Arabidopsis thaliana: one gene and its partner. The protein of the gene in region 1 interacts with the protein of each later gene in a biochemical or structural test. Each region holds a gene or a part of one and is shown on either strand. Other genes may lie near its edges.

Region 1 (4,966 bases):
GTTGAGAGATCAAGCTAGAGTCTCGTCACTCTGATCTTATAATCAGCTAGCTCAGTGAATGGTTCAACTCTAATTTTCCTTTTGTTAATCTGATCTATCAAGGAGAAGTCGATGATTGCTCTTACAAGTTACATCTCAAGATGAGATACTTGAGGCTTATTGGGCTCTTCTTCTTTGGATACTTCTAGGTTCAAGTTGAGGCTTTTAGTGGGCTTATTTTGATAAGTTTTTATCTATTATCGACCTGAATTAGCAAACTAGTCAGTTTTCAGAACATATTTAGAAAATTAGTCATTTTACTAGTCACAATTTATAAAAAAGTCACTTTTCACTGTTTGATTTGTACATTTAGATTTGTACAATACTTTTAGTATACATATGTATATAGATATACACAGCGTACACTTACATCTGTATACTAAAAGTGTTGTACAAATTTAAATGTACAAATCAAACAGTGAAAAGTGACTACTTTGCAAATTGTGAATAGTAAAATAACTAGTTTTCTAAATATGTTTGAAAAATTGACTATTTTTTCATTTATCCCATTTTAAAATGTATGAACAGTACAATATTATTAATATTATGCTCTATTTTAAATCAATGGAAAATTTTATATAAAAAATGCATAATGAGGAAGAGACACACAAATTCAATTGTTAGGAAAGAAAGACTTTCACTACATTAGTGCTCCTAAACTTTTGCTCTACGCAGTATAACCTCTAATTTACTGGTAACTTATATTTGAAGTGATTTACGTATGATACTACTTGAAGCACCAAACTGTACTTCTATAAACTCAGGTAACAGTAGCTACGTTATTATAATAATAATAAAAAATGTTATAATAAGGTTTTAAAGAAAGTAAATATCAACATTATATATGGGGACATACATTGATTCAGTTTTTGATAAATAGTGTAATTTGTATTTGAGTTAAAAAATTTGCCTTTATTTATATATTCCCCTCGAAGAAAAACTTTATTTACGTCCCAAAAAAGTATTTTTGGATTCGCCATGAATGTTTGATCATTCATATTTCAGAAAGTATTATAAATCATCGTATATCTGCATGAGAGTTTCATGCATAATACTCTTTAAAAGAAAATTGTTGGATAACGTAAAACAAAAGTGTTGGATGACGTCAAAAAAACTGTGAGGTGACGAAGAAGACAGATGGAAATTGTATTTTTGAACACACTAAAAAAATCGTAATATGTAAGCCAATTCATGTCATTATTGAATGTTGTTAAAATGAATCAAATAAGGCAAAACATAAAATATTGAAGAAAAAGATTTTATAAGAAAATGTAAAAACACTAGAGAAAGTAAGATGAGAGTTCCTTCTCCAACACTTAAAAACCCACTCACAACCAACACCAAACGGCTACATCACTTTCGGTGACCGCATGATCTTGCACTTGAAGTTAAAGAAATACTCAATTCCTAATCATTTTAACTCATTAATTTAATTAAACTAAAAATATCAAACCAATATATGAAAGGCAAAAGGTGAACAATATTTCAGCTTTTTGGTAAAATTTGTTTCGATTCTGCTAAATATCATTTTGCTTTGGACCTGGTTAGAAAAGTCAGATCAAATTTGGAAAGAAATACAAATTAGTGAGTACATGTAATAATAAAATTTAACTATTTTCAATACATGATTTTAATATTTGTATTTATTTAAGAAGATTATAATTCAATTGTTTCAGTGAGGAGTTGTTTGGTTTACTCGGTTTATTATATATGATGATATACAAAACCAGTTCTTTAATTTGGTATTTGTTTCAGTATGTTTGCTTCAAATTTCCTTCCCTTACGAATAAGCAACTAATAATGATCAATGAAAGTTGTAACAGAGACATCCTCCTTACCAATAAACAACTATAATCATCACAAAAGCTTCTTAAGAACCTTCCACCACTTCTCTTCTCTTCTGAACATAAAACCCAAACACATTCACAAAATTCATAAACATAAAAAAATAAAAGAAATTGAAGACAAAAGCAAAGAAAATGAGCACAGCAAGATTCATTAAGTGTGTGACTGTCGGAGATGGAGCAGTGGGAAAGACTTGTATGCTCATTTCATATACCAGCAATACGTTTCCTACGGTAACTTTTAATTTCTTAGCAAACTTGATATATATCCAGATATATTTTCAAATTGATGTTTTAAGATATTTATGTTAGGCTCCTGAGATCTTTGCTCATTTTAAACGTTGTTCATGGCAAATTAATAAGAGCCTAGTTTCATCTTTTGCGTTTATATTTCCATATCCGTTTAAGCATATTTTTCCTAGAATCATTAACGTGAAATATATCTAAAGCTGAATTCAAACCCATGCTTCTGGATTTTTGCTATCTGTTTACTTAAGAAACATGGTTTAATGTATGTTTTTTGATATATAAATGATTTAACTATCTAATTTACAGGATTATGTTCCAACAGTTTTCGACAACTTCAGCGCAAATGTGGTGGTCGACGGGAGTACCGTGAACCTTGGCCTGTGGGATACTGCCGGTACGCCGTATGATTACTTGATTATACTAAAACTGATTATTAATGAATGCTAGTTACGATAAAAGTTATTATTGTGGAATTACAGGTCAGGAAGATTATAATAGGCTTAGGCCTTTGAGTTACAGAGGAGCAGATGTCTTCTTATTAGCATTTTCCCTTATAAGCAAGGCCAGTTACGAGAATATTCACAAAAAGGTAACTTTAAAAGTTTTTCCATCCGTTTTTTTTTATAGATAAGAAACTATGATTATATGATAAAGTATTTCTAGAAAAATTTGTTGACACTGACTGATTAATTAATCTGGTGATTAATAGTGGCTTCCGGAGCTGAAACATTATGCTCCTGGCATCCCCATTGTGCTCGTCGGAACAAAATTAGGTAACGAAAACTTTCCCCTTATGAGTTCATAAAGAAACTTAATTTATCAACATTTGTGTCAAATTAGATATGGTCTTGAGTAATAATCCGCAGATCATACGTTTTTCATTTGCAAAAGAAAGAAAAAAATTCTACAAGAAGCTACTTTTTCGTCAAATAGTAATACACTCTCTTTCACTCTGAATAATATTGAGATATCACTAAATAATATGTTATTTAGAAAATAACACCTATAGTAAATGTATTTTGAAAAATTACCTAATTAATTCAGGCCAGTAAATTATATTATTTGTTCTGTTATGCTACAGTTTTAATGAAAAACATGTGAAAAAAGAATAACATTTTCAAATTCGATAGTTGTATAAAAACAGTTAGATTTTCATCTAATAGCAGAAAAATGTTCAAATGTAGGAAGATATAGCCACTTGGATCGTTAATGGCATCATGAATAGTGGCCCAATTTAACATTTATTCAACAACTTATATTGAAAAAGCTAATACATTTCTCCATTTGATTTATGGTATCTCTTGTGTTATTGATAATATCTTTTTATTCAAAACAATAATGTTACACAAAAATGAATATAGATTTGAGGGATGACAAGCAGTTCTTGAAGGATCATCCAGGAGCAGCTTCTATAACAACTGCTCAGGTACCATACACAAATCTTTAAAAAATAATCTATACAAAAATAAATTCATAAACAATTATGAATGGATTTGAGTAACAGGGAGAAGAATTAAGGAAAATGATTGGAGCTGTTAGGTACTTAGAGTGCAGCTCCAAAACCCAACAGGTACTTAGAGTAAATTCAACATGTATTTAGGTACTTAGAGTGCAGCTCCAAATGTTTTTTTGCCAAAATTTTCATACTAATAATTTGAATCCACAAATATATATATATATATATATATATATATATATAGTAAATTGAAATACTTAATGAAGTTAAATTAAATAAACTGAAAAAGTTTTTTGTTTGTGAATGTTTAATAGAATGTGAAGGCAGTGTTTGATACAGCGATAAGGGTAGCTTTGAGGCCACCAAAGGCAAAGAAAAAGATAAAACCATTGAAGACTAAGAGATCAAGAATATGCTTTTTCCTATAATATCTGAACAGATTTCAATAAATAACAAACATTTATATATACTTGTATTTTGATATTTTTTTGAATATTTTCTACTTGAAATAGTGGACTTTGCTTCATCACGTTATTGGCGAGAGTATTGTCGAATCATGTTACCATTATTCGGGAGAAATTTGTAAAATAGTAGTAATTTGGCAAGAAAATTGAGGATTGATATTTTTTCCCCATAAATTGTGGAATCACGCTTTTTGGTGACAATTTGCGAATTCTAGTTTTTAGCAAAAAAAATTAAAGAGTAATGTTTTTTGATGAAAAAATTATGGATACAAGTTTGAATCAATAATATGAGATTTTCGTCTTTGAAAAATAAAATTTCAAGTTTAAAATTTTGGCTAAAAAAATGTGGATTCAATTTATTGATAAGAAAATTGTATTAATCCTCACTTGAAACTCCTTACACTCTTTCTACATGAGTAAGACATAAACAAATGTGACGTTCATGCTCCAGTTCTTATATATGTCCAATGTATAACCTGAGCAAAATATACTTATGCACTTATAATACCTTAATTACCCGTCTTACTTTGAGGCTGGATCTTGTCCTTTAAGTAATCTATCTTCTGGGAAAAATAGAACTCAAGGGCTCTTACGTTCAATGTTAAAAAATGGTACCATTTCCTTGCAAAAACTCAGCTGTTTCAGAAAAGATTTCAAAAGCTAGCATACCTATACCATAACACACAAAGTTTTATACATTGGGGTAGTCCACAATAAGAACTGAGAGAACGTTGTTTGCTAGATAGGAGGCTCTTTCATTGAAGAGTATGATGGTTCAGTACCATCTTCATCATATACTCTACAATTAAAGAAAACCAAAGCCACACACAAAAAAAAAATCAAATGCAAATATAGAAATACTATTACGAGTTCTAATTCTCCAACAAACTGAGACATAGTCGTACATTCTTGTT
Region 2 (4,891 bases), on another chromosome or scaffold:
CCATAGAGACTTCCTTGAAATCATATTTCAAAACCGCGAGAAGATCGTCCAAAGCTACCACCTCGATGGATATAGTTTTTGGGTTGTTGGGTGAGAATAATTAAAGATTAGCTATATCTATCGTCCTCTATATATAGTAGCTAGTAATAATGCATTGCATGCATCTGATGTTTGTGAGTACTGTCCACAGGACGGATAGAGGAACATGGTCAAAAGCAAGCAGACGAGAGTATAATCTTAGGGATGCTATTTCTCGCTCCACCACTCAGGTACAAATAGTTTCTAACTCCATATATCTTACCAAAAATTTTAAAAAATCATCTCAAAACTAGTATTTGGTTGTTGTAGGTATATCCAGAATCTTGGACAGCCGTATATGTGGCACTGGACAATGTGGGGATGTGGAATCTAAGGAGTGAATATTGGGCGAGGCAATACTTGGGTCAACAATTCTACCTTCGAGTTTATTCTCCAACACACTCTCTTAGAGATGAATATCTTTTGCCTAAGAATGCTTTGTTGTGTGGCCGAGCCTCCAATAAACACACCACTCCTTAATGACTCTACTCAGACCAATCGTCAATGGCTGATTTAGGGATATGTATTTTATTATATTGAGTTCTTTATTCTTTATAATTTCAATAGCTAGATATATGTTGCACAATTATTATATATACTTCAAAAATTGTAATGTATACCCAAATTTGATGAAAATTTTACTGTTTTGTAACGGTTATTGCTAAGTTTGAAGTTAATTTTTGTAGGCAAATGCAATGTTTTCATATGAATCAACCAAGTAACTCTACCATATCACCAAGCAAAATAGTATAGTTTGAAGAGAGAGAGTAAATTAAAAAAAAAAAAAAACCATACATAACATATTAGAAACATTAATTTCGAATAAACAGACTTTAACGATGAAATAAAAATTTAAATTATTATCCACCGGTAGATGTAGAATGTTTATTGGTATAGAAAGTTGTTCTATTTGGTCAAAGTTTTTGTTGACCTTGCAATTACAAATTACAAGGCTGTCAATCGAATGAAAAACATGGCAATGGAAAAGATTTGCTAATAATGCCAAGACAAACAAACGTTTATTTGGAAGGTTAAAAGCCTTTTAGAGAAGAAAAAAAAAGAGCAGAGAGTCAACTAATTAAGCCATGCATGTGAATCAACACCAATCCATAGCATATTCTAGTGATCAGTGACATTAATATTGTAGATTACTATATTAACCCGAATTCAAAGGGCATTAAATAGGTACTTTAATGAATTGAATTAAGAAGAGTAATATAATCAACGGCTTAGATTCGTTGCGTGAAAAAACCATAACCGAAAACAGCGGAATCCACGAAATAAGTAAGCCAAACGCAATCTAGACCGTACGATGTGAATACTTTAATGACGCCAGAATACTATGGACAGTGTAGATCAGGCGAATGGGCGTAATACACGTGGCGTAAAATCACGAGGATAGATATGGTGCAACGTAGTTCAGGCCGGTGTGGTACGAGAGAGTCTGATGATCCGACAAGGAATACTTCTAGTCCACACAATGTCAGCCTTTCTTTATTTTCTCGGTCGCTTCGAGATTCTCAATTCTGCTCTGTAGAAAAGATCCTGATGGTTCACTTTTAATATCCAACGGTTGATATAACACAAGCGCATGCTCCTCTTATGAGAACGGCCGTGGGATATAATTTAATCTCGCCGTTAAAAAATGTGACGACCGTGAGTTAACGGTTTATCTGTTACCAACCTCATACCTGTCCCTAACGGCAGAGGATAACGCCGTGAGTATGGATGGATGGGAGAGAAAAGAAGAGAGAGAGTGTGAGTGAGGAAATGAAAGGAGTCTTTTTTATTTGTTATCTCTCATCTCTCTCTCTCTTTCTCTCTGAGCTTTGCTTTTTATCAAACAAGCATCATCATCACATCCACTTCCTTCTTCTTCCTTTCTCTGTCTGTCTCTTAACCCAAATGTGGACTCTTTGAGCCGTTATTAGATCTCTGCCGCTTCAATAATGGGGAGCTTATCTTCTGAGGAAGACGACGAAGTCTCTTCCGAGAGATGCGGAAGTTACAGTCCCAGCGCCGACATTAGCGAGTCCGAGAGTTCCAGCAGCTTCTCCTGCCACCGCTTCGACGGCGAGGGTGCCTCTAGCTCCATCCCTTCTTCCCCTCGAGTTGTCGCTGGTAGAGGATTTTACTTCCCGGCCCCAGTCATGCTTCCGGTGATCGGCGGCAAAGATGTGGTCTGGGATGACAAACAACCAGACAACGATTTATCCGGTATAAAAGTTTCCAAATTTGACCTCTTTTGTAAACATTGATGAACACTAGGATTCAATTTCCCTTTTGTTTCCTATTGGGTTTCAGAAATTGAGATGATGAAGGAGAGATTTGCTAAGCTACTTCTCGGGGAAGACATGTCTGGTGGAGGTAAAGGGGTTTGTACGGCGCTTGCTATCTCCAACGCCATCACCAATCTCTCTGGTACCATCTCAATCTTCTTCCCTTTTTGTTAGTTGGTATATATAGTAGGGGTTTCTAGTTTTTTAATAAGGCTAGTGTCCACACAGCGACTGTGTTTGGCGAACTATGGAGGCTTGAGCCTCTTGCTCCTCAGAAGAAGGCCATGTGGCGCAGAGAACTTGAGTGGCTGCTCTGTGTTAGCGATTCTATCGTTGAGCTCATTCCTTCCATTCAGCAGTTCCCTGGAGGCGGAACTTATGAGATCATGGAGACCCGTCCACGTTCTGATCTCTATGCCAATCTCCCTGCTCTCAAGAAGCTCGATGCTATGTTGATCGATATGCTTGACGCTTTCTCCGATACTGAGTTCTGGTACACTGATCGCGGCATAGTTCTTGGTGATTGTGACAAGGATTCTTACAATTCTCCAGCTTCCGTTAGGCAGGAGGACAAGTGGTGGCTGCCTTGCCCTAAGGTTCCGCCTAACGGTTTGTCAGAAGAGGCCAGGAAGAAACTGCAGCAGTGTCGGGACTTTGCTAACCAGATTCTCAAGGCTGCATTGGCAATTAACAGTGGCGTGCTTGCCGAAATGGAGATTCCCGACCCTTACTTGGAGACTTTGCCCAAGGTATGCGCCTTCTCGAGCTCAAGGATTAGCTTTTTCATTGCTGCTGGAGCATAAATTCTTTTACCGTTATATGTGATTAGCTCATTGAGTTATGATTTTAAACTTAATGCAGAGCGGGAAGGAATGTCTTGGAGAGATCATCTACCAGTACTTAACTGCAAACAAGTTCTCTCCCGAATGCCTCCTGGACTGTCTTGATCTCTCATCGGAACATCAGACTCTTGAAATCGCCAACCGGATTGAGGCGGCTGTGCATGTTTGGAGACAAAAGAATGGGAGGAGGCACAAGAAGCAGGCGAAACTAAAGCTGTCTTCTTGGGGTGGCAAGGTTAAAGGCCTTGTTAATGACAACGAAAGAAATGATTTCCTTGTGCAGAGAGCCGAGACCCTCTTGCAGAGTCTCAGGATCCGTTTCCCGGGACTTCCCCAGACAACGCTGGACATGAACAAGATTCAGTACAACAAGGTACATTATAGTTTGGAGTGTGCTTTGCTGGTTGCATCATGAAACGATGCTTAGATAATTTAAGAGTTTGTGTGTGTTCTTGCAGGATGTAGGGCAATCAATTCTGGAGAGTTACTCTAGGGTGATGGAGAGCATGGCCTTCAACATCACGGCCAGAATAGATGATGTGCTTTATGTTGATGATGCCATGAGAAGATCCATCTCTGTCACAGAATCGCTATCCCTATTCAGCATCAATGGACTCAACCCTCAAAAAGCGTTCTCTGTGCAGAGCTCTCCGCACGGTTCACCATTTGCAACGCCTGCCCTAAGTGTAGCATCAAGAAGCCCGAGGAGAGCACCGCCGCTGTATTCAGTGAAGAGGAATGGGACGAGAGAGAAGGGAATAGTGGGAGAAACAGAGAAAGCATGGTCGTATGCAGGGAATCTGAGTTCAAGAAGAGTAACGGGAGTGACGCCGGAAAGAGATTAAGATTGAAAATAGAAGAATGTAAATCAATGGTTGTAGAGACTGTAGTTGTTTCTTGTTTGTCTGACTACGAAGACGAATGTGGTAATAGCAACAAGAATGTTATCTTATGTGGAGTTTTGAAATGTTGTTAACAAATCAATTCCTTAGCTCATTTACCAAGTTTACAAAGATTATGGTCCAAGTCCTAAAACTGAATGAACATCACATACCCGTCTCTTGAGTGATTTAATCATGTTCTTCATTGCACTAAAGCGACAACTTTTGGTTCAAATATAGACTATGACTATATGGTTTGTTTTGCACAGGATTAAAGTTGATGTTCCAATTTTATAATTAAAAAGTCAGAAAGGGGTTTTCTTGTTATTTTTTACTTGTTCTTATAAGCTATCGGGACGACACGGAGTTTTAAAGAGTTTTCCGTTTTGCTGAGCGGAGGCGAGAGAGGGTTTAGAGTGATGGAGCAAAGTAGCGGGAGAGTCAATCCGGAACAGCCGAACAACGTCTTGGCGAGCCTTGTCGGGAGCATCGTGGAGAAAGGAATATCGGAGAATAAGCCTCCAAGCAAGCCGCTTCCCCCAAGGCCCTCCCTTCTTTCCTTCCCCGTCGCTCGTCATCGTTCTCACGGACCCGTAAGCCAATCCAATCCTCTAGTGCGTGCTTTTTAGGTTTCCATCTTCCTTTTGTTGCCTTCTTCTAGATTTTAAGCACCTTCTACTGTTGTTTAGTACTTGGGACTCCACAATTTTTCACCGTGCCTGACCTTGTAATTCAGCTTTCTGAGACATCTAATTTTTGTTTCTCATGTTTGATTTTGTAGCATTTGGCTCCTGTGGGAAGCAGCATAGCA

What was found. Proteins that work in one complex are often made in the same cells at the same time.
Region 2: of the proteins of RAC2 (region 1) and ROPGEF1, one has a biochemical effect on the other in vitro, tested with the Arabidopsis thaliana proteins (one study listed by BioGRID).

The regions. Positions count from the first base shown.
Region 1 is NC_003076.8:18,641,743-18,646,708, forward strand, and holds RAC2 (RAC-like 2), read left to right. Parts: upstream 1-1,797; 5' UTR 1,798-2,018; coding exon 2,019-2,117; intron 2,118-2,438; coding exon 2,439-2,526; intron 2,527-2,611; coding exon 2,612-2,721; intron 2,722-2,841; coding exon 2,842-2,905; intron 2,906-3,493; coding exon 3,494-3,558; intron 3,559-3,636; coding exon 3,637-3,702; intron 3,703-3,902; coding exon 3,903-4,016; 3' UTR 4,017-4,234; downstream 4,235-4,966. UniProt on the Arabidopsis thaliana protein: Inactive GDP-bound Rho GTPases reside in the cytosol, are found in a complex with Rho GDP-dissociation inhibitors (Rho GDIs), and are released from the GDI protein in order to translocate to membranes upon activation.
Region 2 is NC_003075.7:17,984,616-17,989,506, forward strand, and holds ROPGEF1 (rho guanyl-nucleotide exchange factor 1), read left to right. Parts: upstream 1-1,768; 5' UTR 1,769-2,027; coding exon 2,028-2,295; intron 2,296-2,382; coding exon 2,383-2,499; intron 2,500-2,585; coding exon 2,586-3,106; intron 3,107-3,218; coding exon 3,219-3,572; intron 3,573-3,657; coding exon 3,658-4,044; 3' UTR 4,045-4,254; downstream 4,255-4,891. Other genes in the region: sks9 (SKU5 similar 9), read left to right, coding at 1-90, 191-269, 349-558; IYO (RPAP1-like, carboxy-terminal protein), read left to right, coding at 4,500-4,673, 4,862-4,891. UniProt on the Arabidopsis thaliana protein: Guanine-nucleotide exchange factor (GEF) that acts as an activator of Rop (Rho of plants) GTPases by promoting the exchange of GDP for GTP. Acts downstream of PRK2 in the control of polarized pollen tube growth by activating ARAC11/ROP1.